Linked DNA regions of Elephas maximus indicus. The protein of the gene in region 4 purifies or fractionates together with the protein of the main gene of each other region. This does not show direct contact. Links are inferred from orthologs where the notes say so. Each region holds a gene or a part of one and is shown on either strand. Other genes may lie near its edges.

Region 1 (7,025 bases), on a different chromosome or scaffold from region 4:
TTTGATCTTCATCAGTAAGCACTTCCAGTCCTCTTCACTTTCAGCAAGGCTGTGTCATCTGCATAACGCAGGTTGTTAATGAGTCTCCCTCCAATCCTTGAACTGAGGACCTGCCAATCCAGAGAAAAAGGCTTGGGTGGTGGCGTCGGAAGCTGGACCCGTTGCCATGGGAACGAACGAAGGCTTTAGGCAGCCGCATGCGCAAATCGGAGAGAGGTTATTGAACCGGGAAAAGGTGACGTAAAAGCGCACAGGGTGGGGCGCAGGGCTCGGAACGTCAAAGCCCTGAGTCCTTCGGCGTCCGGAGAGGGGGACAGGCGCGCTTGGCGGCGGCGACCGCGGCGACAGCAGACCCAGCCGAACCGAGACTGGGCCGAGGTCCGGGCGGCCCGAAGCTGACGCGCGAAGCAGCGCTAGTAAGGCGCAAGTAAGGCGCCGAGAAGACCCCTCTGCGCGATCCGCGGCGGCCCAAACCCAGATCCAGGTTCCGAGGCCCCGCCCCGGGAACCCTGGGACTAATCGGATTGAGAGCGCGCCGGCCCGGGCCGCGAACTCGCCAATTGTGGAGGGCCTCTGCCGCCACCCAATCCGGAACAGACAGGTGCGAGGTCCGGAAGACAGAGGCCAATCAACAGCGGTTGCGGCCTGCTGGGGCGGGTCTCGGCCAGTGAGGAGGTTTGAATGACATTTCGGCCTGCCAATCGGGAGTGAGAGAGCCTTCGAGCCCGCCCGCCCTTCCGGCCAGCGCTCTATTTACCAGGGGCGTGCAGCCCGCTTGCCAATCAGCGCGCAGCTGAGCGGCCAGCAGCCAACCCCGGAGCAGCGGCCGGCCGGCGTCCGCCCGCACCCGAGAGTCGGGGATGTCCTACAAGCCCATCGCCCCCGCCCCCAGCAGCACCCCCGGCTCCAGTACCCCTGGGCCCGGCACCCCGGTCCCTACAGGTGAGGACCCAGCTCCACCCCTGCTCGCCTCCCCGGGCGCTCGAGGTCTCCAAGAGAAGACGGCCTGAGTTCTGCAATACCGGGCCTGCCGCCTACCCTCCTGGAGCCTCAGTTTCCTGGCCTGCGAAGTGGGCGTGGTGACGTAAGGGCTTGTAGGTGGGGCGCAGGGGGTGGGGTTTGTCCCTGAAGTTGACCAGCCTGGAATGAAGCATCCTTTTGGAGGGAATCGGAAACACTCGGCCCGGGGCTTGGAACGTTGGGAGGAGGCGTCCCTGCCCCGTGCTGACCTCTTCCTCGCGCCCGTTGCAGCCGGAAGCGTCCCGTCGCCGTCGGGCTCGGTGCCGGGAGCCGCTGCCCCTTTCAGGCCACTGTTCAACGACTTTGGACCTCCCTCCATGGGCTATGTGCAGGTGAGTGGGACGGCCAGCTTGCTTAGGGATGAGGGCTGGTAGCCCACCCGGGGCCTGAGCTCACTGCCCTGTTCTCTTTGGCTTAGGCAATGAAGCCACCGGGCGCCCAGGGCTCCCAGAGTACCTACACAGACCTGCTGTCGGTCATTGAGGAGATGGGCAAAGAGATCCGGCCCACCTATGCTGGAAGCAAGAGTGCCATGGAGCGCCTGAAGAGAGGTAAGCAAGCTCAGGCGCACCCTGCCCTGACGCCGAACAACCTCTTAGGGAAGGAAGGCCATCTGGAGGCCACCTGAGTGGAGCCTAGACCTCGAGCCAGTGTCACTATCCAGAGAGGGGTTTTGAATTAAATTTAAATCGAGACCATTTCCAGGGAGGGGACTGGGTGTTGGCATTTTAACAAGGAAAATTTGGGGTTTAGCCAAGCCTCCCATCTCATCCAGTCTCTTACTGAAAGGAGGCGCCCTGGTGGCACAGTGGTTAAGACCTTGGCTGCTAACCAAAGGTTTGCCTCTTTGAATCCACCAGCTGCTCCTTGGAAACCTAATGGGGCAGTTCTACTCTGTCCTATAGGGTTGCTATGAGTCGGAATCAACTCCACGGCAACAGGTTTGGTTTTGTTTTGTTTTTTTTAACTGAGAGGAAGGAGCCCTGGTTGCACAATGGCTAACTATTCTGCTAATAACCAAAAGGCTGGTGGTCCGAACCCACTAAGTTTTTCTGTGGAAGAAAGATCTAGTGATCTGTTTCCATAAAGATCACAACCTAGAACATTTCTTTGAGGCAGTTCTACTGTGTCACATGGGGTCACTATGTGTCAGAATTGACTGGAGGGCGCTCAACAACAATAACTACAGACGGGAAGAGGGTGGAGGGGCAGGATCTTCCTCTGGAGGTTGGGGTGGGCTCTGGAGGGTTGCTGAGACCCCGTATGTTACTCCCCCACCCCTCCCCACCCCAGGCATCATCCATGCACGGGCCCTAGTCAGAGAGTGCCTGGCTGAGACAGAGCGAAACGCCCGCACGTAACAGGAAGCGCCTGCACCTCAGCGTCCGGACCCTTCCAGCCACTGCAGAGCACCAGCTTCTCCCTGGCCTTCACCCCGAGTTGCACTCCCCATCCTGGGCCTCCTGTCCTGTGTCCCTTGGTGGGTGCCCTCCAGGAACCAGGGGCAAATCCCACTCCGATCAGCAGCACTAACTGAGGCCCCGTGCAATAGTTAGCAGCAGGGTCACTATGAGACCCACCCATGACCTACCAATAGTGTTGATCCAGCTGGAACGTTCTCCTTTCTGGGGCCTCCACCACTCAGCACTTATCCAGCACTGCTGACCACTTTGTGTCCCATCCCCTTGTCCCCCAGCAGGTCTCGGAAGGCCTGTCACCTCCCTGCCTTGTTTCCTGGGCCATAGCAACTCTTTTCTCAGTGTGTCTTTTGCTAAATATGCCCTTTTTGTATAAAATAAAGATGATTTGAAGTTGTTCTCTCAGCTTTGAGCCTTTCTGGGTCTGGTTCCTCTGCCAAGCCTGGGTGGGCCAGACAAGGAGGGGAAGGGATGGGGCGGGGAGGTGGAGTGAGATGGGGCAGAGACCGACTGAACCTGGCCTGGCCTTGCTTCTGCTGCCCATTGTCCCTTGGATGGGCCCCAGCTCAGGCTCTTGGCCTTCCAGTTGTAGGTGGTGGAAGGGGTTGCAGGAGTTGAGAGCCCTGCACCCCTTCGTGTGGTGCCACGAGGGGGCAGCACAGGGCCTTGGCTGCCCGTACAGCTAGCGGGCACTGCTGCTAGCCTGGGCCTACAGGGCTCTTCTTTGGATTACAAGTAGTGCCTGGCCGGGTGGCCGGTTCACTTCTGCCATTCCCTCATATGCCTTAATGCCCTAACAACATCCTCCACTCTGAATCTGCCCTGGGAGGCTCTGAGTACACCCCAGCCCCGACTCCTTAGAGGAGAGGGGCACTCTCCACTGCCCAGCACTGTTTTCCTGGCAAACAGGGTCAAGGGGAGAGGACTGGCCTCCAGCCTGGGTGAGACCCAGCTGGGTGCTGCCATCCACTGGCCCAGCACCTTCCAGCGGGGAGGGCGGGGCCCAGTGAGCCCACCTGCTGGCCATCTGCAAGTGTCTTGGCCTTTGCCCAGGGTCTGGTATCTGGGTGGCCGGACTTGTGGACCCGGAAGGTACAGGTGGAGAAGGCCTTGGAGTGCCATTAAGGGGCTGACCCAAGAGTTTGGAGTGGCAGCCTATGCCCCGGTCCTATAGTTGAGCGATCGTAGAGGCCTGGGGCCCTGAGACCCCAACCCCAGGCAGAGGCAAGTCAGAGTCCCCAGCTTCTGGCAGGACTTGAGGGAGGCACTTCCCCTGCCCTGAGTCACAGGTTCCTGGGGCTGCAGAGGGTGAGGGGCTTCCTGTAGGGATGGTGCAACGCCACAGCAAACTCCGCCACTTCATTGTACACTGGAGGGCTGGGCCGGGGTGGCCTGGAAAGCAGGAGTACCTTGGCGGCCCCAAGCAGCACCCAGGAAGTAAGTGCCAGCGTTTGGCGGAGGGCCTCTCCTTGCTGCCTGCTAGTAGGGAAGGAAGGGGCCAGCCCTCCGACGTCGTGGGGAGGGCCAGCGGGCCCAGGAAGGGGGTGGGGCGGCAGCAGTGACGCGGCGGGCAGCGGGGAGGTGACTGCAGGGACGCCGGCAGGCGGACCGAAGGAAGGTCGGAGCCATGGGCCCGCGCTGCTCCTCCGGGGAGGCCGGCCACTGCTGGAACCCGAGGCCGGGGCGGGGGGCGCTCCGGGCTCCGACCCACGGCCCGGCCGCCTCCGCCCGGGTCGGGTGAGGGGCGCCGCTCCCCAGCTAGAGGTGAGCTGGGACGTCAGCGGGCGGGCCAGGAGCTCAGTGAGGGACGGGGACGCCGGGGAGCACAGGGAAGTGGAGACAGCGGGGCCTCCAGCCTGTTCGCTGGGTGCGAGATGGGGAGTGGCGGGGGTGGGGGGAAGTGCCTGCAGCTGAACCGCCGCGCCGGCCGGGGAGCAGGTGGGGGGAGCGGCCCCCAGATTCCGGGGCCGCTGGGATACCCAGTGGTGCCACTCTGCCTTAGCCTGAGGAGGGGTCACGCCCTGAGTGGATAGTGGGGCGGCCCGTAGACGAGTGGAGAGGCGACGGGGCCGGGGGTCCAGGAAGGATACTGGGGAGGGGAAGTTGAGGCCCGGGCTGCCGGCCAGGCGGGGAGGGCAGGTGGGGACCAAGGGGCGGTCTGACCCTGGAGGTAGGGGCAGATGGGGCTAGGGACCCCGGCAGGGATGCTGACGGGTGGGACGCGCAGGTCTGTCCTCGGAGAGACGCCCGAGGAGACAGGGCTCTAAGAGGATGTCCGAGTGGGGGACCCCGGAACCCCACCGACCCGGGAAAGGGTTCGGGGGGCGGGCCGCCAGGGAAGGTGGGTCCAGAGGACCGGCCAGGGCACCCGGGGCTAGGTTCCCAGGATGCTGCAGAGAGGGGCTCCAGCCGCGGTCACGGCTGAAGGGGCGGGGCTTCCTGGCGCCCGCGGGTCCGCGACGCCGCTCCGGGGGGCCCGCGTCAGCGCACGGTTGTCATGGTGACGGCGGGCGGCGGTGGGGGGGCTGCGAGGAAACGAGGTCAGCGCTCTGCGGGCTGCGCCCTCGGCCCCCGGCGGTCCGGCTCGCCCCGCCTCCCCGCGGCCGGCATGGGGTCCGGCGGCCCGAGCCCCCCGGGACGCGCGCAGGGCTCGTGGCCGCGCGCCGCCCCGCACTGACGGCGGTGCCTACGCCAGGCGGAGCGGAGGCCGTGGGCCCAGCGCTGAAGATGCTCATCAAGGAGTACCACATCCTACTGCCCATGAGCCTGGACGAGTACCAGGTGGCCCAGCTCTACATGATCCAGGTGAGGGCAGGCGAGGGGACAAGGGGCCTGCGGCATGACGGGGACAGCGACGGGAGCGCGCAGGCTTGGCACTATCCAGGCGCCGCACCCTGAACGCAGCCAGTCCTGCCCCGGCTGAAAGGGCTCAGACAGAGCCCAGGGAGCAGAGAAGCCCCTCTTCCACGTGGGGTAAGGGCTGTGGGAAAGGGGCAGAAGAGCCAGTGGCGCCTCCCTGCCCCCCACGTGCCCAGCCCAGGTTGGACGCTCAGCCCACGCATGAGCTCTTTTAATCCTCCTCGGAGTCGGTAATCCTGTGGGGGAAGGGGAAGGAGCTGAGGAGGAGGCAACAGTGAGAGGTGGGGGGAGAGGGGGCCAGGGTCCTGGCAGCTGCAAGAGGTCAGGGACACGGGATGAGAGTCAGGCCCCAAAGCTGTGGGGAGGGAAGGGGAAGGCAGGGGCCCCAAAGGGTGAGGGAGCGGTCTGGGCTAAGAGGAAGGGGGCTGGGGCAGGCCTCAGAGAGGCCAAGGCGCTGAGGTCTGTTCTCCAGAACTGTAGGATTGGAGCCTGAGGAGGCAAGAGGGCCCAGATGGGCCTCAGGCAGTTGAGTGGGGGCAAGTCCTGACTCCAGAGATGTAACTGGGAAGGGCCTGGGGTTCTCCAGCTACTAGGGGTATGGTAGGAGCTGGGAGGAAGGGAATCAGGGTCAGGTCCTCAGAGAAGTGGAGTTGGTTAATCGCCTTGATTCTTCCATTCCAGCCCTCTCTAGCCTCCTTGCTGCTACTTGAGCCTGCCCGACACCCTCCCACCTCACGGCCTAGCAGGGGCTTCTTTCTCCTTTGCCTCCAGTACTCAATACCACTCTGGTCCCCCAGCCTGCAGACGTTTTGATGTCTGCATGGCTCACTCCCTTACCTTCTTCAAGTGTTGGGTCATGTTTCTTCTCAACCAGGTCTCCCCTGACCATCATATTAAAACTGCAGTCCTCAATCCTTGAGCCCCCTTTCTTTGTTCCACAGCGCGCACCACTGTTTAACATACCGTAAACCAAACCCGCTGCCATCGAGTTGATTCCGACTTACAGCAACCCTATAGGACAGAGTAGAACTGCCCCATAGGGTTTCTGAAGCTCTAATCTTCACAGAAGCAGACTGCCCTATCTTTCTCCCACAGAGCTGCTGGTCAGTTCAAACTGCTGGCCTTTCAGTTTAGCAGCCAAGCGCTTTACCTCTGTGCCACCAGTGCTTCTTAACACACCATATAATCTGCTTTTATGTTGTCTCTCTCGCTCCACTTGGATGTAAGTTCCGCCAGGGCATGGATGTTTGTTCTGTTTGATATATCCCAGTCAATATAATCCCAAACAATTCCTGGCACAGAGTAGGCACTCAATAAATGTTTGAATGACCGAATAAGTCCCCACGGGGGACTGGGCAGAGGCTGTTGTGATCCTGATCCCAGGGAGCTGAAGGGGCCAGGGCCAGGTTTCAGGGAGTTAAGAGGGCTGGGATTGGGGCTCCAGAGCTGTGCGGGGGGCCAGTCTGAGTTGGGGGTGCCACAGGATGAGTTGGGAAGGGCTTCACTCCTGGGTTGAGATCCCTGTTCTGCTGTGCCCTGGGCTGCAGAAAAAGAGCCGGGAGGAGTCGAGTGGCGAGGGCAGTGGCGTGGAGATCCTGGCCAACCAGCCCTACACGGATGGGCCGGGCGGCAGCGGGCAGTACACACACAAGGTGTACCACGTGGGCTCCCACATCCCAGGCTGGTTCCGGGCACTGCTGCCGAAAGCTGCCCTACAGGTGGAGGAGG
Region 2 (7,021 bases), on a different chromosome or scaffold from region 4:
ATCCAGCCTTTTGGTTAGCAGCCAACTGCTTAATCACTGTGCCACCAGGGCTCCTTTCTCAATTGATTATTCTTCTCCATATCACTGGAGAGGAGGCCTGCGTGTGTCCTCGCCTGGATGATGAGGGTCAGGGTACAGTGATGTGAGTGTGACCTGAGACACTTGACCACCAATTCTCAATCCTAATTCCTCCTACCCAGACTCAAATCTGATGAGTTCATTGGGAAATGGTTAGAAAAGGTTAGATTTTATGATAATTCAGTTTTGTAATCAAGGTAATTGATGCTGGTTAAAAGTAGAATACTTTTTCCCTTTAAAATAATTTGTATAAGTTGTATCTTCCATTTCTACCTTCATGGACTTCATCTTCAAGTATTTGGCAAAAGCAATGCTAATAAGTCACTTTGAGGTACAGGGACATCTGGCCTTGAAAAGAAAAGTGTTTCAATATAGGTTTTTAGAAGGGTGAGTGACTGCTTTCCATGCTGGTAAATATCTTAAGTAGAAGCCCTATGGCTGTAAGTTAGATATAAGAAAGAAGTTCCCTAAAATAAAATATTCTTACACTTGTTAAAAAAAAAGACCATTGCCATCAAGTCGATTCCAACTTATAGCAACCCTATAGGACAGAGTAGAACTGCCCCATAGGGTTTCCGAGGCCGTAATCTTTACAGAAGCAGACTGCCACGTCATTCTCCCACATAGTGGCTGGTGGGTTTGAACTGTTGACTTTTTGGTTAGTAGCTGAGTGCTTAACCACTATTCCAATATTAAAAAGAAAAACCTAATCTGTCCTGGATACTATACATTCTACCTGTAACCCATTGCCATCGAGTCGATTCCGACTCATAGCGACCCTATAGGACAGAGTAGAACTGCCCCATAGAGTTTCCAAGGAGCATCTGGTGGATTCGAACGGCCAACTTTTAGGTTAGCAGCTGTAGCACTTAACCACTACACAATCAGGGTTTCCCTGTATGTTCTGCTTGAAGGAAAGGGAAGTACTGAGTTAGGACCTGGAAGAAAACCCAGTCCAAACTGGACTAAGCAAAAAGGGACTTTATTGGCTCAGAGAGCTGGGAATCACAGGAGGTAGCCTCAGGCATAGCTAGATCCAGGAGCATGATGTCCCTAGGACCTGGTCTCTGTCTCTCTTTTATGGGCTGGCTTCATTCTTAGGGGAAGTCTCAGTCTCTCTCAACAGCTCCAGGAAAAGTCTCAGTTGGTTTCTTGGTCCAAAGGGATGGTCCAGAGATGGAGTCAGCTCCAAAAAAGCAAATCAACTGAAAGGAGGGGAAGAGAGATCATTCTCCTAAAGAAAAACTGCTGTCGAGACTGTTCTATTCCCACAAATCCCCTTTTCCCACTCACCAGGAATCCAGGGTCTTCCTCAGGGGCCCACTCTTGCTGGATCAAGCTCAAGGGGGGTGGTTATTTAAATGGCCCAAGGAAACCCAAGCGCAGGAAGAGTAATAGCAGCTCATGAAACAGGGGCCTGCAGCCGCCCTGCCCAGGTGCTCTGTACAATGGTCTCTTTAACTTCTCAAGACTCAACATGACCATCAGACCCAGGTCTACCTGAGAGACCCAAGGGCTCCAAGACCCTCTGTCTCACTTAGGCTCTGGGTTTTTTGTTTTTGTTTTGGTGAAAATATACACAGCAGGACATCCATCAGTTTCTACATGTACAGTTCAATAACATTGGTTATATTCTTCACATTGCGTCACCATTCTTGTTATCTCTACCCGTACTGTTTCACCACCACTAACTTTAGACTCTATTGCATAAACTTCTCATCTTTGCTTTAGAGCCACTGTTGACGATTTGATCTCATATACATAATTCTTTAAAAGAGCACAATGCTCATGTAGAACATTCTTTACTAATTTAGCTATGTAAAGATGTCTTCAGGGGACAATTTCAGTTCATGGTTTGAAGATTTTCTTAGAGTGATAGATTTGGGGGTTGTTCCAGTCTCAATAGGTCCAGTAAGTCTGGATTCTGTAAGAATTTAAAATTCTGTTCCACATTTTCCCCCTTTTGATCAGGATTCATCTATTGATTCCATGATCAAAACATTCAGTAATGGTAGCCAAGCACTATCCAGTTCTGATCTCATGGCTAAGGGGCAGTAGTTCATGGAGGCAGTTAGATCTGCAATCCAGCTCCTTCTCTGATTCCTGGGTCTCTTTCCTTTGCTGCTCCTGGCAGATACAGACCAATTGTTGTATCTTGGATGGCTGCAGTACTCACTGAACTAGGGAGTAGAACAGCAACTCTAAAAACATAATTAGGCCAAATGACTAGAGAGTCCCACAAGGCTCTGGGTTTTTTAGTTAAATTTGCAAGAGAGGAACTGATTGGCTGGGTTTGGGTCAGATGCCTACCCTCAGCTCCATCAGTTGTGGGGGAGGGGCTGAAGGGGATGGAGGTTATTACCTGGTGTAAAAGACTGCCTTCACCTCCTCCCTCCTTCGGGCTGTGGTGGGGAGGAGTCAATGAGTCACAATTCTAGTAAAGTTGAGATTCCAACAGTAGAGCATCCGCTCCTAGCCCGTGTGCGCGAAGCCACCTGGTTTTGCCCTGCCTCTCTGAGGCCCTTTCCTCCCAAACTCTGCCTCACTGCACGGGGTAGGTGACTCAGTGTCTTTCTCCGCCCTCCCCTCTCCTCTCAGAGAGTGAACTGCTGCCTTCGTGTGAGCCCTGTCTACATTCTCTGGGCTGCCCTTTATGAGTTCTCTTCTTCCTCAACACCCTGCCACTTCTAACCCGAGTTGCCAGTTGCCACTTTTCCATTTAATCTGCTGCCTGCTCCAGTTGCCTACTCCTTTCGCTTGTTCCGCAGCTGGCTCTGTAGCCCAACACCTTCCGCCTTCGGGGACGTTTGTTGGCCTAAGCGCATGGCCCGCAGACTCTGCATTCAGCGTGAATCCGTTAATTCTCGAAGCCTGCTCCCGGTAGGCCTCCCGCAGGACGCCGGGGACACTCGGTGGTGAACTAGATGAGCAGCTTGAGTCATCACGCGTTCACAGCTTAGCGAGGACAGCGATGGCCCCACCACACACATGAACCGAGAGCCGCGGTGCAGGGCCAGGCCCGGGGCTGTAAGCGGGCTGCCCGCGATGCGCTCGACTGGCAGGCCGGAATCACCGTTTACTTCGGCGCGTGGTGATACCCAGCTGGGGACGTTCTTGCAAAACGCAACGTTTTTTACTTCTCGGAAAAGGCTTGCGAGCAGCTTTGCTATAGCGGAAAAGTGCTAATTTGCAGTGCAAATTCGGCGCAGAGGGGAGTTTTCTCCGTGATCGTTCCTACTAGCGCAAGGCTCTGCCAATCCCGCGCCTTGTGCAAGCGGGACCCAGACGCCGGAAGCATTGTGTCAGCAGCGCAGAGGAGCAACAGTCCGGGCCGCTACTCTGTATCCACGCCACCTCCGGTTCCCAGTTCCCCAGCCCCGCCTACAACTGTCTCCAGGGGCTCGCAGCCGGCTGTAATACCCCGTGGCCTGAGAGCCACCTCGCCCACCCAGGCTAGGCCCTGTTTCAGCACCATCCGCTACATCAACTCCCGGTGGTCTCCCAGCCCCGAGGCCGAGAGGGAGGCCCAGTAGCCTGAGAATCTTGTATTAGCGCGGGGTCCCCTCGGCACCGTTCAGCTAACCAGACCCCCCTCCCCGAACGCTTCTACCCTGACGGAGGTTCCAGCAATGACTAGCCCTTGCGGGGCCGCCAGGCGTGTCCCTGCGCAGGCACAGATCCGTGCGCACGTCAGTCCCACCCCTCGCTGTCGCCCCGTGCTCGTGCGCACGCAGGCACTCCCCCTCACACACACACGCACACGACCGCGAGCACACTCGGCCGCTCAGGGCGCTTAAGAGCCTAGAAGGGTCAGCGCGCCTGGTGCGAACCGGAGTGGCCCGGAGCAGGGCCCTGGGCGGTGTCCGGGGCGGGCCCTGGGCGGAGCTCGCCCGACTGGGAGCGCAGGGCGGGGGCGGGTCCGCGCCGCCGCCGTCCGCGCTGCCTCCGCCCCCGGTCCGCCGCTCGCTGGGTTCGTCTGCGCCGCAGCCCCCGCCGTAGTCACCACTGAACCCGCTGCTGCCGCCTCTGAGGTAGGCGCAGTGGGAAGGGCAGTCTCTGCCTGCGCCCCATGCCGCCGACCGGGCCCCTGGGTAGCTGAGAGGGAGGACGTGGGAGGAGGAGCGGGCGAGGGCGAGGGGCCCCCGAGCCCGGCCTGAGGGAGGGAGAGGGAGCGGTCCGCTCGGGCCTGGCGGGTCAGCCGCGGACGGAGCAGGCCGCACGGGCGGGTGCCGAGTGGGCCCGGGCGGGGAGCGGGAGGCCGGGGATCCAGAGGCGCCTGCGGCTAGGAACGAAAGCCGCCCGGACATGCGGGCGGAAGGGCACGGGCAGCCGCGTGGAGCCCCGGCCAGCAGCGGGTCTAGGTGACCTTCCTTGACGCCCTCTGGCCCACGATTCTGACAGCCCTGCTCGGGCTGGGGCACGCCCGCCGCCGCCCACGCTGCCCGGGCCAGACCCGCGGCCCTGTGCGGGCCACACTGCCGCCGCAGGGATGAGCCGCAGGTGGTGACTGCGGCCCCGCGCCCCGCACGCTCTGCCCAGTCCACGCCCGAAGGAGCTGCCACCCGGCAGTACGCGCGGGCCAGCGCCTCCCCGGGCGGAACGGGTGCCGGAGAGTCGATTTAGGCCTCAGGGGCTGGACTCGGGTTTAGGCCTCAGAAGAGGAGGCTGTGCGGGGATCGTTGTGGCCCCTGAGGCCTTAGAAGGGATTTCTGGTTCGGTCACTCATTCATTCACCGAACACGGCTGTGTGCATGCAGGGAACTAGGAGCTCGACTTTGGGTTTGAGGCCCGCAGCATAAGTGAGTTGTGCAAGGTCACACAACTGGGAAGAAACCAAGCCTAAGTCTTCTTATCTGTAAAATGGGAGCAGCTATACCTCTCCTTCTTGGGGATTTTGGGAAGAATAAAGTGAGATGATTAAGTTGTAAAACCTTCAGAACCTTGCCAGACTCCAAGAAGGCCTCGGTAAAAACCATGAAACTTAACCAGCTTCAGACTTTTGGGGAAGATCAAGTCCATCCTCCTCAGAGCGCTTTCCTCCACGTGGTGTTCTCCAAAGGGCTCAGAAAATGTAGTCCCTGTTATTTTAAACATTATGGAGGTATTATTAATAACCGTTTGTGTGCAAAGCATTGAGTAACTTTAAGGATAATTCACAAAAAATCTTGTAAGTTTACAGACTGATAAAGTCAGGCTGGGGCAGGAAGTTTGAATGCAGGGGGAGACCCGGCTGCACCCCATGGCCCCATCTTCTTGACCAGCCTCCCCTCTCCAGAGAGGATAGGGAAATGGGCTCTTCCTTTGCCAAGATTTCTGCTCTTTCCTAGGCCAGGGCTGACTCCCCAGGGCCTGCCTTCTTTCTCTCCACTCCAGCTCTGGTCTGACTGAGCTCCTGGGGGGGTCAGGCTTCGACCTGGTGCAGCCTTGTTCTTAGGGCCTGCAGTGGCACCTGGCAGACAGTAGGTGCTTGAGAAGGATCTGTGGGGGTAAGTGCACTATTGCTTTTTTTTCTAAGAGTTGACTCACTGTTATTGACAAAAGGTTAGTTTTATTATTCAGGCATCTGGCACATAGTAGGTGCTCAGGTGTGGAATGATTGAATGGGCATAGGTAGTGACTGCAGGCCCAGACCATAGTCCCGGATCTTGGACATCGTTTTTTGGGCGACACACATCTCACTCACTTCCAGAAAATGGCCTCACTTAGCAGAGTCTCAAAGATTTAAAGATCTACAATGGTATGTACATACAGCCTTGGAGCCGTGAGAGGCAAAAATCACAGTGAAACCTGTGAGAGCCAGAACTGCCATGTTTTTCCAGGTCTCACAAGTTTTCTGCCTTTGACAGGGTATAGGCTTAACACCTTTCTATTGCTCATTTTAGTGGAAAATATTTGCATTTTTCTTTTTTGATAGGTTTCTGCCTTACACAAGTTCCAGCTTTCGCAGGTTTTACTGTATTTCCTATTTTGAAATAACTGCTTGAAGTGCATTATCTTCATTCTGTGACTGTCCAAGTCCAGAAACTTGTTGAACTGGTGTTTCTGGGCTTGAGAGGAGGGTGACATGGGTGAATTGGGATTCTCTGAAAGGCCTTGAACTGGCATCCCTCCCTCTGTAGTGGTGCGTGAGTGGGTGGGTTGATGGCTTCTGCTGGAGGTGCCCTGGGTGAAGCCTATGCCTGACCCCACTGGGAGAGGGAGCTGTTCTCAGTTGATTATTTAGTTTTATCTCTGCAGTTCTAGAATGGGAGTTAGGGTGGGGAGCCATTTATAGACATATTTTACAGATCAGAAACCTGGAGCTCAGGACTTGGGGACCATATGGTGAGGAGGTGCCCGTGGGCCTTTGGTCTGCTGGACACTGGGCAGATGTGGATGAGGAGCTCCAGGCTGGTGGCGATGAAGGCGCTAACCGCTCATTCAGTGCTGCAGAGGCACTGAAGTCCACTTTACCCTTGATGGAATATCCCATGGTATAATGCGTCAGAATCGGCTTGACGGCAACCAACAACAACAAAGTCTTTGTTGATAGTGACTGGGAGGGGAATATCTATGCTGAGAGCCTTCCATAGCCCAACCTCCGACAGTCCTTCTGGGTGCCCACAGGGTCTATGGTCCATGGCCTTTGGTTCCCCAGAGATTCCTGTGGTAGCTGCCAAGGAAAGGTGACCAGTGAGATACTGAGCCTGGCACAGTCAGGGGGGGTGTGTGTAGGGATGAATAGGATTCTAAGCCCTTTACCTAGAATAGGGCTGGGAAGAGACCTGGAAAGCAGTCTGGGCTCAGAACACAGGTGACATGAGCTGTAGGGTCTAATACAAGTCAAGCCACTTTCTGGTGCCTCACTTTCCCAGTATAAATGTGTGATCATCATCATCTTAGCAATTCTTTATTAAGGGCCTGATCAGCACCGTCCTGGGGGCTTGGCATGTGTTCGGTGACA
Region 3 (7,354 bases), on a different chromosome or scaffold from region 4:
AATTTTTTAGCAAGGAGCCCTTTGTTTCATTTTGTACTGGACCCCACAAATTATATTGCTGGGTCTGCCCATAATGATGGAGTCCTGGTGGCGCAGTGGTTGAGATTGGCTGCTGACCAAAAGGTTGGCAGTTCAAATCCACCAGCCGCTCCTTGGAAACCCTGTGGGGCAGTTCTGATCTGTCCTATGGGGTCGCTATGAGTTGGAATCAGCTCGACAGCGGTGGAGTTTTTTTGTTTGTTTGTTTTGGTCCATAACGTTACATCTCCAAGACTGTTCACTTTTGTCTCTACTGCCTGGTCCCCAGGTTGGCTGCTGTAGCCTCCCAGCTTGTTTCCCTCCCATCACGTCTGCACATATAGCCAGAATCATCTATTCAGACTGTAAGTCTGACATGGCACTCACCTGCTAAAGACCTTGCTTCCCCAAACTCTTAACTGGCCCAGCAAGCCCTGTGTGGTCTAGTCCCCACTGCCAACCTATACCACCTTTGCCTTGCTCACTGCCCACACCAAGTAGCTTCCTGATGCCTCAGGACCTCTGCTGGAAACATCTGGTAAACACCTCCCGGTACCTGTCACATTCAAAATTTTACAGTCGTTTGTGTGATTGATTCTCTGTTTGCTTCATTAGATTGTAAACTTCTGAGGACAGAGACCATACTTTTTGCTCGGTAAATCCCTGTTGCTCAGGAATCATTGTTAACATCCATCAACTATTGCATGCTAAGGCCCAGGATGTGTTTCCCCTAGGCCGATGCCCCCAATCCATCCCTCATTCCTGAGACCGATGCCGTGGGTGTGACCGTGGTCCTCATCACCTGCACCTACCATGGGCAGGAGTTCATCCGCGTGGGCTACTACGTCAACAACGAGTACCCCAACCCTGAGCTGCGGGAGAACCCACCACTGAAGCCAGACTTTTCTCAGGTAGGGGCTGTCTCTGCACTTTCCTGCTTCAACCAGGTGGCCCCTTCACACTGGGGGAGTTGAGTCATTAGAATTGGGAGCCCGGGTTTTCAGTCATGCTCGATTCTTGCAGAGCCAGGCTAGGAAAGAAAGGGTCTTTGTTTCCAGAGACATGCCTCGGAGCTGAGAGTAGGTAGTGCTAAGCGGTAGCACAGGGCCTTCCCCTGAAGTTCCGTATATGGTTGGTGAACTAAGCAGGGCCTGTTCTTCCTGGGCTTGGGGTGGCAGCTGGGGTTGCCCTGGCTCTGGGGGAGTAACAGGGGGCACGTGACAAGACTTGATGCTCCTTTTCCTGCCCCAGCTCCAGCGGAACATCTTGGCTTCCAACCCCCGGGTGACCCGCTTTCACATCAACTGGGACAACAACACAGACAGGTTGGAGGCCATCGACAACCAGGACCTTTCACTGAGCAGCGGCCTCCCCCTCAGCTGCACTCCTGTCAAGGGCCTGGGCCTTCCTGGCTGCATCCCTGGCCTGCTCCCTGAGAATTCCATGGACTGCATCTAACTTTGGGAGCTCAGGCCCTGGCTGGGCTCAGCCAGGACCCAGACCAGTTTCCTGGCACACCTGGAGGAGGCACCTGGGCCTCCTGGAGAGTCATGTGGGACATCTGGAGAACTTTGGGGCTGTCACCTACATCGAATCAGACTGGGCCCCATGGAAAGAACAGGCCCTGGGTCTTTCCCAGCCCTGGCCCAGAAGGATCATCTCACATCTACTCCACAGGCCTGTAAGAAGGAGGTACTTAGTTCTTCATTCTTTCTGACTATCCCCTTTCACTGTTCCACACACACTATAAATTCACCTGGAGGCCATTGTGCTCCCTTGAGTACCACTGACCCAAAGCTGCTTCCCACAGACCTCCTGGGCCTGCCTGAGGCTTTCTTGGTCAGTGCCTGGCGAGGCTCCAGCCCTTTTGGATCAAAGGCTCTGCCATTCCTTCCCCTTCCCAAACATCTGAACAGAGCCCCCAGCTTTCTGGAGTCACAGGCAAGGAATCCTGGTTCGGATGTGGACTCAGATACAATGTCTGTCCTCCCCAGATTTTTGGTTCTTCCCAACCCAGCAGCCTCTAGAAAACGCAGCTCCTAAAGGTGTGACCAGCAGGTGCCTCTCTTCTCAGTCACAGCCACCTTCCTGTTACCTCTTAACTGGACCTGGCATTCTCTAGAGACTTCAGTGGTGGGGAGGTCGCATGTTGGAAGGGTCTGCTGTGCTCTGTTTTGGCGTTGGCATCAAGCCCCTCTACCTCTGCCAGCCTTGACCTGTCCTCTGCCAAGACTGCACACACTCATGGGCCACAGGTGAGTGTGGGCAAGGGAAGCTGTCAGGATCCTGAAAATCTTCCCTCCCCGGAATGCTCTCCACCTCTGCCCTATCCCCTCGCTGCTACATGGATGCTGTTGTGATTGCAGTTTGTATATTAAAGGGTTTTTATATTAAAAATGTTTGGTTGCGCTAAAAATAAAAAGCACTTCATTGAGGCTGTTTCTGCTTCTGTCTCAGGCGAGCAGGGACAGCTCCATCCATCCTATCCTCCTAATGGTGGGGTTGGCCTCTTCCTCCACTCAGTGAGTTGGGTGTCCCTTGCCCCCTTGCTTGACTTCTTACTCCAGTTCTAGCTGGTTGTATAGTTGTATTCCAGACTAAGTTTTGGGGAGAGTGTCAAATCTGGAGATAGAGATGAACAGTGATTTCAGACTTTGACCCTGGCCCACAAGAAGAAATTAACTTTTACATTGTGATCCAAGTATATACACAAAGCCACACTTGATTAAATCCAACTTAACCTTACTATGTAACTCCACAGCCTGCACTAGTATTTGGCTGGCCAGCCTTTTTCCCGTATTTCAGAGAAGCCCAAACTCTCCCTCCCTGGGGCTGGTGGTCAGCCTGAGAGGAGACGTGCAGACAACTGTGTGCAGTTAGCCCAAGTCCATAAGCAGAGCAATGAGTCAGCTTGTGGACTTGAGACTGGACTAGTCCCTCCAAAGTAGGGGAGCTGGCTGGTCCAGCCCCCAGCCTCTCTTGGCACCTCATGTGGGGGCCTTCCTCCACTTCAGTGGTTCTCAACTCAATTTCTGGAGACTTTGGCTGTAAGCAGTGGGGGCAGGAGGGAGGAAGTATGTGCTTCTGGTACCTCGTGGGTAGAAGCCAGACAGCCCCCCGCCCCCACACCAAGCATCCAGCCCCAAATGTCAGTCGGGTAGCATTGGTAAACCCAGCTCTACTGTCATCCTCAGGCTGTGATATATTAAAAGGGCACCCTAAAGAAGGACATCTTGCCCCTTCTATCCTCCGGGAGGGTAGGTTCCCTTTGCATTCTCCAGACAAAAGGAATGCAGAGTGGTGATTACCAGCAGGGAATCTGAATCCAGGAGGCCTGGCTGTGCCCCCGATTCCTTGGCTGTACAATGGGGATAATAGTGCCTACATGATAGGAATGTTGTGCGAAGTAATAAGGTGAACCAGTGCCAACTCTCTGCTGGTACGAGCCCAGGGTGGGCGCCCAGCAAAGGGTGGACACTGCGTGCCCCTCTCAGCCGCCCCCTTGCTCCCGGAGCCCAGCATCCTTCTGATGCTTGGGCTGTGGCTGGAGGCGACCCCGGGCGGCCTGGCCGCTGCTGCCCAACACCAGCCCTTATGAATGACGGTGGCCGGCGGCCCGGCGACCTCTGACCCTCGGCGCCGGCCGCGCCCCTCCCCCCGGGTAGGTGGACAGCGGCTGCGCCGGCGGCCCGCGGCGCCAAACTTGGCTGGCCGGCGCCCGCTGCCGCACTGGGCAGGGGCGGGGGACTGCGGCGCGCACGGGGCCGTCCGGTGCCTCCGGGCCGCCTCGTGGGCTTCCGAGCGCGGTGCGGCCTCCGACCAAGCTTGGCCGCCCCGCCTGCCGCTCGGGCCTGGACAGCGGACTGAGCCTCCGCCCCGCCCTCTCACCCCGGGATTGACACTTGAGGTTCTGCAGGAGGCCTGCCGGACCGCTCGCCTCCGCCAATCGGCGCCCGCCCTGGGCGGGCCCCGGGCCCTGTCGCGCGCCTCAGCCAATTAGGCTCGTCTGCCCGCCCAGCTAGGGCCTCGCGACCGCGCGACTGGCGGAGCATCCTCGGAGCGCGTCAGGGGGTCGAGAGCCTATGGCGGCGCGGAAGGGTCGTGGCGGGCCAATAGACAGCGGCGCGGCGCCGTCAGTCAGGGTGGCGCTGGCCAATGGGCGGTGGGCTGCGGGGGCGTCACGGACAGCAGCAGCGGACTTGGGCTGAGGTTCCCGGGCGGGCGGGCGCGGAGGGACGCGGGAAGCAGGGGCTGGGCGGGGGTCGCGGCGCCGCAGCCAGCGCAGCCAGCCCAAGGGGCCGCCGCCGCCGCCGCCCAGCGCGCTCCGGGGCCGCCGGCCGCCGCCAGCACCCCCCGCGCCGCAGCTCCGGGACTGGCCCGGGCCGCCGCCGCCGCGATGGGCAACGCCGCCGCCGCCAAGAAGGGCAGCGAGCAGGAGAGCGGTGAGTGCCCGGGCCGTGACCCCGATCGCGGCCCCGCTCTGCCAGCCCCCTCCTTGTCCATCACCGCGTGGCCCCTCCCCCACGCACCCCCCCCATTCTTCGCTCCTTCTCCCCAGCGCCCCTGCCTGTCCAAGGCTGGGGCCCGAAGGCCCGCAGGAGACCTCCCATAGGGGCACCCCTGCCAAAGGCCGCCCCCGACTGCAAAGGCAGTGCCCCCCCACCCAGCTGTCACTGCCAACCATGGCACGTATGACCGCTGGGGCCCCACATGGAGCCCTGTCACCACCCCCTCTCTTCCTGGCCCATCTCCCCAAATTCTAATCCCCCCACTTTCTCACTCACCACTCACAGAGATGGGACGCACTGCTAGACCCCGACTCAGAGTTGGCAGTCTGGGAGTGCTGTGGGGTCTGCTTCCACCCCAGAGGGACCTTGGCCACTTGGTGACCACACCCCTCCCCCCCTCCAGCCCCCGCCATCTTTCTCCTGCCCTTTCCCTTTTCACCTTATCCCAGCCCCCTGCCATCCTTGAGCATTTCCCCTGAAGCCACCTCCAGCATTGTTTTTCTCTTCTGTGTCACTTGGCATGGGGGACAGGATCTTTCTGGGTCCCTCTGCCCCTCTCTTGTTCTGTCACTCTCTGCCACTCTGCTCCCTCCTCCAAGTAAGCGCCTGCCCCTGGCTGGGAGAGCAGGCTGTTTATGAAGCTAGGGAACTGCTTCAGTGCTTCCAAAGACAAATTTGAGCCAGTCTTCCTGGGATTCATTGCATCCTCTTTTGCAGGGGGTGGGGTGGGAGTGGGGGCAGCTGCAGAGCCCCTTCCGCTTTCCTGCTGGGCAGCCTAGCTCCAGGCTCTTGGAGGGGGCCCCTCAATAAATGGTTGTTTCACAACTAAGGCTCCGTCATTCACCAGGTCCCCTGGGCTGCTTCACCCGCTCCTGGCGCTGGATGAAAAGTGGGGGGGCGAAGAGTGCCTGGCTTTAGCAAGGGCTCATTCGGCTTGAGCTGGGCTGGTGAGAAAGGGGATGGGGCAGTTGGGGAGAGTAGTGGGTGACATCTAGTGCCTTGTTTTGCCAACGGACAGACAGATTCTGGTCATTCCCAAGGCCCAGCCACAGGCTTGTTTCTTTCCCTCCCACCCTCACATTGTGCTGGCCTTTTCAAGCCAGAGAGAGAGATTCCACATCTGGAACTGCTTTCAGAAATGGCCTCGAGCCCCCTCCCCAGTTCCTCCAGCTCCTCAATTGTCACTCAGGCCTAAAGCTAGACCCCACCTGAGAGTCCCTTCCAGTTACCCAGAAATAGAGCTGAGAAGGGAGCTCGTGTCCAACTACGCTGTCCCTAGTTCCTGGTCTCAAACAACAGCGTGAGTTCCCTGAATGCCCCCTCCCAGAAAGACCTGGGCCTGCAAACCAGGGAACTTTATTCCTACAAATAGCAGAACTCAGAGGAACCAGGCGTCCACGGGGAGGCCTGACATGTCACCGATGGGCGGGGGACAGGGAGGCAAGTGCCTGTAGTTGAGCGCTTGATGACAGAGGAGCAGGTGGGTAGTGTCCAAAAAAGGTCTGGGCCTGAGCATGGAGGGGACTGGGAAGAGGGGGAGGGGCCAGCTCTCAGCAGGTGAGGCTGCTGGGAGGTGGCAGGTGGAGGCAGGCAGCTATATATTGCAGTGGCTCAGTTGAAAGTTGGGAAGATGACATAGTCCCGGAAAACCTTCAGAGTGTACCAAGCACGTGCGGCGGGGAGGTGGGAAGCCACAAGGGGAAAAGGATCCCCAAAAGGCTCCGGAAGGAACTGCTAATTCTCTCAGAGCACAGACCAAAAGACACCCAGGAATGGACTGTCACAAGGAAATAGAGCCACTGTGTATTGGGCATCTAGTGTGTGCCAGGTTAAACAGCCTCCATCGATCTGCTCAGGTGATACTCATAATGGGCTATTAGCCGAATTTTCCAAATGGACTTGCTCAGTTTGACGTAGGTGACGTCACAGGGGCAGGATTCACATCCAGATCCGCCTGGATCCCATAAGTGCACAACTCAGACATTCTCAACTCGCCTCCCTGATTTTTGCTTTAGTCACTTAAACTTTCTTAATTTAAAATAATAAAAACAACTCACTTTTCTTCAGACGTAAACTTTGACCCCATCTTGAGCAGTAATGTAAATGAAGTCATGGCATTGCTGGGCCAGATATATTTTCCCTGACACAAATTAAAATACATATGTAATTAGAAAAATGAAACATCGCGTACTCCACATTCAGCCAGTGGGACCAGTGTCACACTTTGGGAAACAGTCTAAGCTGTACTTCCTCCCCGAGCCTTGCAGGGGCTTCTAGAGAAGGAGATAGGATGGGGAAAGAGGCCCCTCTTTGCTTGGAAGCTCTGAAACTGAGAGGATGGAGTTACACTAAATTTGTCCTCTTCTAACCAGGGCGGGGCAGGGGCAGTAGCCAGGCAAGCCTGCAGGGGGCACCTGAATTTCATCTGCCACACGCCAGCCCGACTGTAAGGAAAATGCCCAAGCCTCACTAGGTACCAGTTAAGTATCCTGCAGCCCCCTACACCCTCATCTCCATGCCAGGGCAGGACAGAACAAGGTCTGCCTCTCCGGAGATCCAGAATGAGCCATGGGGTGGGGGTGGGGAATCTGCACCCAAAGATGCTAAACCATTGGCAGGGGCCAGGAGGGCAGAGAAAAATGACCGAAGTCTCAGGCTCTGGCCAGGCTGGAGGAATTGAGATAGGGCAGCAACCTCTGGGCTGGTGCTGGCAGAGGACACCCCTGGGAGTTGGCCACAGGGGAAGGAGCAGAGCTAGCGAGAAGCCCCCCAGATACTCCCCAAGCCTCCGAGAGAAACCAGTACAGGCACTGAAAGTGAAAAAAATG
Region 4 (7,240 bases):
TGGATGTCAACATCACAACTTCTATAGGGAGAAACCTTTGAACCCTGCTGACATTTTCTAAACTAAATCTGGTTTCTGATTTCCTAATGGCAATACACACATGGTTATCCAGTAGAGGAAATTTCCTCTGTAAACTGACGTTCTCAAAAGGTAAAAACAAACAATCAGTGGCATCATTAGGGTTGGTGTCACCCAGTGTAGTAACTCAGGATGTCACCTCCTCGTGGACCTCCTCCTGTACCAGACCATACAGGATCCTCAATAACATTTTTTGTACTGTTACTCGTACACCATAATTCTCGTCTAACACTCCTTCTTTTCCTTTAATTACTTTATTTCTCCAAAAAAAAAAAAATAGTTATTGATATAGGGTCACAAATGCTAATTACCACAATATTGTAGCTACAACACCAGAAAATCTGACGAAATCAGCGACTATAAATACACCAACAGCGAAGAATACAACAGCCTGTGCATGTAGTGTGTGCAGATGAAACCACATGATTCAAAGCACGACTCTAACTGGGCAACGACCGCTCTGACTGGAGGGCCTTGGAAGGTTCCAAAGCAAATCAGCACAGAGTCTTGGCCGTGAGGGTATGTTGATAAACGTAAGCTGGGCTTACAAAAAAACGTTTTTGTTGTTGTAACTACAGGGATACTCTTATGAAAACAATAAATTTCTGCTGAAACTCTGCACAAAAATTTTATAGACATTTTGGTGTCACCTCATTCTGAAAGTGTCACCCAGTGGGGTGCACACACCCCCAGTGATGCCACTGCAGAATACTAAAACGCTAGAAGACCATAAAGGTTTTCACTAAAATTCCTTCAACTTAAGACAACAGTTATCTGAATTAGGTAATTTCAAGATCCACAAAGGTTATTTTTCTCCCAGCTAAAACTATGTAAAACCATGCAGTACATACAAACTTGCTACAATAAAATGCACTCACTGCACCTCAAAATATTTCTTAAGAGTTGTCTTAAATTCTTACCTAACAAGCAGCTCACAATTCCATTCAAAGAAATTTGCAAATGCACTAAAAAAGCTTGCAAAGTAAAAGAGGTATGCACCTTACTCTCAATTCCAGAGTACGGTATTTAAAAAAAACTTCCTAATACTATTTTAAAATTTTCCTATAGAAAGCAATCTATATTTTTTCTTTTAGACTCAATCTTAAACAGCAATAAAGGATCTAACTTTGTCTTCTAGCACTGGAACTGGTACTTATCTCACGAAAATTGTTTTCACCATAGCTACTGAAATTGAAATGTAGGAGACTGGCTTCCATTCCAAAAGGAGATTCACTTCACATTTAACTAAACATAGGAAGGAAACTTTCTTTTCGGGATCTTCACACTCTTGAAGTAACCCACCCCCCCCCCCAAAAAAAACAACTGTTCAGTTTAACTCTCGTCCCTAAAGTACCCTACATACTGAAAAGCGAACAGGCCAAACGGTACCAGATTCTTCCAGGATCACAAAGTTAGACTGATAAACTTATCACAGGTATTGCTACAAAACAGGAGCACTGGTGGCGAAATGGTTAAGTCCTCGGCTGCTAACCCAAAGGTCGGCAGCTCGAATCCAGCAGCCGCTCCTTGGAACCCTATGGGGCAGTTCTACTCTGTCCTATAGGGTCCCTATGAGTGGGAATCGACTCCGACGGCAACGGTTATTGCTACAAAATAAGTCAACGAAGTTCCAGAGCTGGGTGACCCCTCATCGGCCTTTTCAGGGTTTGCTGGGAAACCGCAAACCTGAAGACAAAAGTCACAAACACTGAAGATTCCGCAGCAAAGAGCTAAGCTAACAGGCTAAACAACAGCTGACGAACATCAAGTGCGCCCTAGGCGGATGGCAAACTGAAGTGTCAGCTCAGAAGACGACGACCTACTACTATTAACCCAGCACTACCACTCCTCAGACTGACGCAGAGCTTTCCTCCTCGCCGCGCTACGGCCCCGCCAATCTATCCAGGTAAGCGACAACCAGGGGACCGCAGGGGCTGCCTTCGGCGTTCGATACACCGAACTGCCGAGTTACGAACTCAGCGGAGAGAGCTGACCCCAGCCGGCTCCCTCCTCGGCCGGGACGGGACGGCTCCCCTCCAGCTCCGGGGCAAGGAGCCGCTGTACCACCCGCTCGCCTCCCACCAGCCCTGACAGTCGGAAGCGCTCGGCGACGCAGCTTGCGCCACCTCCAGGTCCCCGCCTTCAAGCACAGCCGAGAGCACACGCTCTAAGGTCACCACCCACCCGCGCCCTCAAAGCGAAGCCAGACGGCCACCGGGGGCCGAGGTCCAGGCCAGGGCGCCGGGCTCAGCGAGGGGGCCCGCGGTCCCAAGGCCCGGAGGCGCTCCCGGGGCCCAAGATGGCGGCGGCGGCGGCGCCAGGTCCGGGCCGGGCCCTCGGTGGCGTCCCCGCCAGTCCGCCCGCCCGCGCGCGCCGAGAGTGCGTGTCAGGCGGGAGGGGAGAGGAGGCCGGAGGAAGGGCTGCGCGGAGCGAGCCTGGAAACACAAGTGCCTGCGCGTGGGGGAGGGTCGGGCCGCCGACATTCCCTCAGCGCCCACAGCCCGCCCCGGAGGAAAACCCACGGCGCTCTCCGCCGGGGAGGCGAGCCCCGTCGCCCCCCAGGGGTCGGCGGCGCCCCCTTCCTGCCTACCTTTAAATTTGAGGTCTGTGGGCGGGTCGAGAACCAGGATCTGCTCGTGTTTCGCCATGGCCCCGGAGGCGGACGCCATCGGAGAGGAGTGCAGGACGGAGGCGCGCCCGCGGCGGCGGTTTGCTGGTGGGGGCGGGGAACGACGGCGGGCACCCGGCTGCGGGCCGACTCGAGGACTGGGCCAGGCTCACCGCGCCAACCTCGCTTCCGCCCGCTGGTCTGTCGGCCGTCCCGCTGGCCGCCGGGTGGGTCCGCAGCTCTGGGTCTCACAACTGACTCAACCCAACACCCGCCGCCACGGCCGCGCGCACTGCGATCCTCGGCGCCCACGTGACGCCGCTGCGTGCCTACGTGCGCGGCCCCGCGCTGGGCCTAGCGCGGCAAAGTGCTGGTGCGCCTGCGCGCTCCCGCCGCGGCCGCCGCTCGGAGCAAGCCCTGCTGTCAAGGGAATGGGTGTGGACAAGGGCGGGGCTCAGATTCCCGGAGGAACACGGCGCGCACCGCAGGGCAGGAGGGGGTATTCCTCTAACGCAATTACGAAACAAGAGTGCCCGCTCTAGCAGAGCATCGGCGTCTTCCAATTAGGAAGGCCTATAGGGTCGCTATGAGTCGGGATCGACTCGACGGCACTGGGTTTAAAAAAATTTAGTGTAAGGAAAAAGGCGTAGCCGAGAGTCGCCCTTGAACTACAATTCCCAGCATACCGCACTTCGGGGCGGAGCCCAAGTGTGGGCCTGGTCCCTTGCAGCACTCTCGCGGTGCTTGCCGGGAACTGTAGTAGCCGCTGCTTGCGGGCGGGAAGGAAACTGAGGTCTGGCTAAGGTGAGTGGGATGGGGCGCTCTGACACGCATTTTGGCTCTCAGCGTCTCATCTGCGCTAAAAAGGAAAAACAAAAATGGTTGGACCAAGGACCCCTGAGCAGAAATATAAAAATCTACCCTGTAGAAAACAGGCTAGGATTTATCAGTTTGTTCTCCAAAGCTATCAACCTCTATTGGGAGATCCAACCTCTCCTGCTTTCCGAATTCCCTACAGTGATGCAAAATCCAATGAAGAAACACGCCTTATTTAATAAACAGATGCGTCGTTGGGGAAATCGGACAAGGCACACGTATCAAGCTAGAAATAAAGGTCAAAATCTGCAACGCTGAATTTAGTTGCTGTAGTTCTACTCCCCAGGTTTGATCAATGATAGACCCAAACCAAAAACAGTTGTCACGTTCACATGTTAGGAACGAATTCCATCTGCATCACTGATGATACCCAGTACCCAGCGCCGTCGAGTCTGTTCCGACAAACTCACTGATAATAGCTGGTCGTAAACTGAACCAAATAAGAAAAATCCAAGCAGCAAAGTTGCTGACCAATTTTCAAACGATCGCCATAGCGGTGGGAACAGGAACATCAAATGAAACAAACGAAGAATGTGCTGTAAACCAACCTTTACGGTACAGCTTGGATTTAAATCCCTAGGGAACACCACAAAGCAGAAGACTCAAAGGAGCAGCCCGGTCTGTCCAGAAAATAAATGAGACAATTGGAACCGAAATCTAAACACAGGCACGAAGTCCAAGTTTTCATGTGCAATCCAGGGATCAGAGCTTCCACAAAGAGCTCTCGAAAATAGCTAACCTAGCATTCATTCACAGAAGATTGTGCCCTGCAGCAGGAGTATACCTTCAGCCGTGAAGAACCTGGGAGGATGGGAGTCCTTGAATAGTTTGAAAGGCATATTCTGAACTTTTCTTTTCTTTGGTATCTTTTTATTCACAAATCTATTTCAAAAGTTCAATTATCATTAAAAGAGGGTACAAAACTTATAAAGTTAATCAAAAGAGGATTTAAAGAAAAAAAAAAAGAATGTGGTTGACAATCACTCCACAGGGTGGTGTCCCACACATACTTAGCTGTAAACTGACAACTAAAAGCCATCACCAACTCCAATGTTTTGCCTGCCTTGAAACCTCTCACCCATTGGTTAGTTAGCCAAGGGAATGGGAGCATTGGCCGAAATGGCTTCTACCCCCTCCACATCTGGATGGACGCTTCTGTTACCAGGAACTGTTTGGGAACCCCTGGTGTACACACAGCCAACTAGCAGGTATAGCATGCCAGAGAAGTTTCCAGTCACTCCCTTGTGGGACAATGATTTGCCATCCACCGCGTGTTCAGTGAGACACCTCAGTCAGACCACCCTAGTTTCCCAGTCTACCTCATGAAGAGCCTCTGCCCATTTCAAGTCATCCACCATTGGAATCAGTATTTTTTCTCTTCTCAATGTCGCTTCAAAATCATATAATCATAGTCTTAAAAATCTATAAGAATTTAAATATCTGATATTCTAGCAATACAGCAAGTATCTGTGGAGTAATTCTCCTGTTATTATTTTACGGCATTGCATTAATAATGACTCCACACCCTCCTGAACCTTCTACTCCTCATCAAATAGTGCACTACTTAAGTGGTTTGTTCTCTGGCATTTATTAATATCTTTCTTCTAGCAGTTCAGAGAACTTTACATACGTCATTAGACACCACTCAGAACATCTTTATAATAGTTGGCAAGTGCTACTTTTGTTGTTAACTATAGAGATGAAAGCACAGCTGAGAGCATCTTAAGACAGTAGTAGAGATAAACTATGGGGGAAGAGGGGAAAGTTGCCGAGTTTTCCAGCTGCGTGTTTTTGCTCTTCCCAAAGCCAAATAAAATGACAACCCATAGTGATTAAGGCAACAGTTTACAATGTAATTGAGTTATCTATTGTTTAATATGTAAGCTAGAAATCATGATACATGGGGCCTGATGATCAATCTCTTTGTTTTATTTCACTGATTAGCGCAGTACATAAAACTTCTTATGGTATTAGCAAAAATACATATACTCTTAAGCATGTTTCTTTAGCTACCAAATTTTCATGAGTATAAAATCAAAGCCAAACCCACTGCTATCAAGTCAATTCTAACTCACAGTGACCCTAGAGGACAGGGTAGAACTGCCCCATAGTGTTTCCAACGCTGTAAATCTTTACTGAAGCAGACTGCCACATCTTTCTCCTGTGGAGCAACTGATGGGTTCAAACCGCTGACCTTTCAGTTAGCGGCTGAGTGCTTTGAAAAAGGTATAAAGGCCTTGAATATTACTTCAACCTATTTGAATCACTAGTTAGTATTTACCTTTGGGCAGGTTATCTTCAAATGTTTGGGAAGGATTAAAAGAAAATAGTTTCCAGTAGAGATGGCAACAAAGTATAACCATCTCCTTCTCCATAATTCAATACGTTAAACATTACTCTAGAGGTGCTCTATAACTATGAATTTCTTTGTGAGTAATTAAATTCAATAAGCATTTAAATATTGAGGCACTGAAATGTATTGTGTAAGAGTACAGGCTTTGGAGCTGAACCACTGGGTTAAAATCCCATTTTCCACTTTGTGATCTTAGCAACTTATTTTGCCTCTCTGTGCCTGTTCAACATTTGTAAAATGGGGATAATAATATTACAGAAGTAAATGAGTGAATGCACGCAAAGAGCTTGGAATGGTGCCTGGTTGGGGCACTGTTAACTTATAAGTGTTAAATACTGACTTATTGCTGTGTGCCAGGCACTGTGCTAGGTGCAAGTGATATAGTGCTGAGCCCATGGACATGGTCCCTGCCCTCGTAGGCTTACATTCAAGCAGGAGAGATAAACAGGAAAGAACTACTACAATTCCTTTATTTGAATTATAGTGAACATTAAGAACAATAAGTCTGGGGAGCTGTGAGTGAGAATGGGGACTCGCAGAGTCTAGGGTTTGAGGATGATTTGCTTAAGGAAGTGACAAGGGCTATATTCCAGGCCAAGGGACCAGCATAAGTAAAAGCCTTAATCTGCACGTGAGCATGACTTATTCTGAATAATTTTAAAAGACCAATATGCTACAGTGAGTGAAGCAGGCAGTGAGTATCAGGAAGTACGGCTGGAAAAGCCAGGTGATGCAGATTGTTTTAGGCCATATTAAGGATTTGGATTTTTATCCTAAATAAATGGGAAAACATCAAAGGGTTTGAACAATGGAGTACTATGATCAGTCTTTATGAGATCTCTTGGCTACAGTGCAGAGATCGGATCAGAGGGAACAGAAGTAATACGTGTGGGTGGGCAGTTGACACCATCGCTATATTTCAGATGATGGAAGGTGGTATTTCAGAGGATGGTGGCTGGGGATACAGTAGATGCAGTGGAGATGGAAAAAAATGGATGGATTTGAGAGATTTTAGGTGTTATAATCAATAGGATTTGGGGGTGATAAGGGGAAATGAAATATCAGAGATGACTCCCCTTCTTTTGGCTTGTGCAGGTGGATACATGGTGGTGCCATTCAGGAATAGAGAGAATCCTGAAAGAGAACTAGGTTTGTACGTTAAAGTGCAGGAAAGGGAAGATCATGAGGTTGGTTGGGTGTAAGATGCCTTTGAGACTTTCATGGAGAATCATTGAGTAAGCAATAGGGTGTTCCGTTTGGAGCTCAGAGGAAAGAGCTCTGAGCTGAAACGCAAATCTTGGAGTCCTAAGCATGCATGATAATTG

What was found.
Region 1: the proteins of VAPA (region 4) and PITPNM1 purify together in Homo sapiens (co-immunoprecipitation; 4 studies listed by BioGRID and IntAct, counting the BioPlex papers as one, with this or other methods). This does not show direct contact. The link is inferred for Elephas maximus indicus from reciprocal best matches to the Homo sapiens genes VAPA and PITPNM1.
Region 2: the proteins of VAPA (region 4) and VDAC1 fractionate together in Homo sapiens (co-fractionation; 3 studies listed by BioGRID and IntAct, with this or other methods). This does not show direct contact. The link is inferred for Elephas maximus indicus from reciprocal best matches to the Homo sapiens genes VAPA and VDAC1.
Region 3: the proteins of VAPA (region 4) and PRKACA purify together in Homo sapiens (affinity purification with mass spectrometry; 4 studies listed by BioGRID and IntAct, with this or other methods). This does not show direct contact. The link is inferred for Elephas maximus indicus from reciprocal best matches to the Homo sapiens genes VAPA and PRKACA.

Annotation. Positions count from the first base shown.
Region 1 is NC_064825.1:130,535,868-130,542,892, reverse strand, and holds the start of PITPNM1 (membrane-associated phosphatidylinositol transfer protein 1), read left to right. Parts: upstream 1-4,017; 5' UTR 4,018-4,202; intron 4,203-5,133; 5' UTR 5,134-5,165; coding exon 5,166-5,243; intron 5,244-6,844; coding exon 6,845-7,025. Other genes in the region: CDK2AP2 (cyclin-dependent kinase 2-associated protein 2), read left to right, coding at 1,146-1,352, 1,439-1,571, 2,314-2,381. UniProt on the Homo sapiens protein: Catalyzes the transfer of phosphatidylinositol (PI) between membranes. Binds PI, phosphatidylcholine (PC) and phosphatidic acid (PA) with the binding affinity order of PI > PA > PC. Regulates RHOA activity, and plays a role in cytoskeleton remodeling.
Region 2 is NC_064820.1:146,391,132-146,398,152, reverse strand, and holds the start of VDAC1 (voltage-dependent anion-selective channel protein 1), read left to right. Parts: upstream 1-4,000; 5' UTR 4,001-4,109; intron 4,110-7,021. UniProt on the Homo sapiens protein: Non-selective voltage-gated ion channel that mediates the transport of anions and cations through the mitochondrion outer membrane and plasma membrane.
Region 3 is NC_064821.1:32,762,635-32,769,988, reverse strand, and holds the start of PRKACA (cAMP-dependent protein kinase catalytic subunit alpha), read left to right. Parts: upstream 1-4,348; 5' UTR 4,349-4,414; coding exon 4,415-4,460; intron 4,461-7,354. Other genes in the region: histone chaperone ASF1B, read left to right, coding at 753-929, 1,270-1,476.
Region 4 is NC_064829.1:13,045,868-13,053,107, forward strand, and holds the start of VAPA (vesicle-associated membrane protein-associated protein A), read right to left. Parts: upstream 3,015-7,240; 5' UTR 2,748-3,014; coding exon 2,669-2,747; intron 1-2,668. UniProt on the Homo sapiens protein: Endoplasmic reticulum (ER)-anchored protein that mediates the formation of contact sites between the ER and endosomes via interaction with FFAT motif-containing proteins such as STARD3 or WDR44.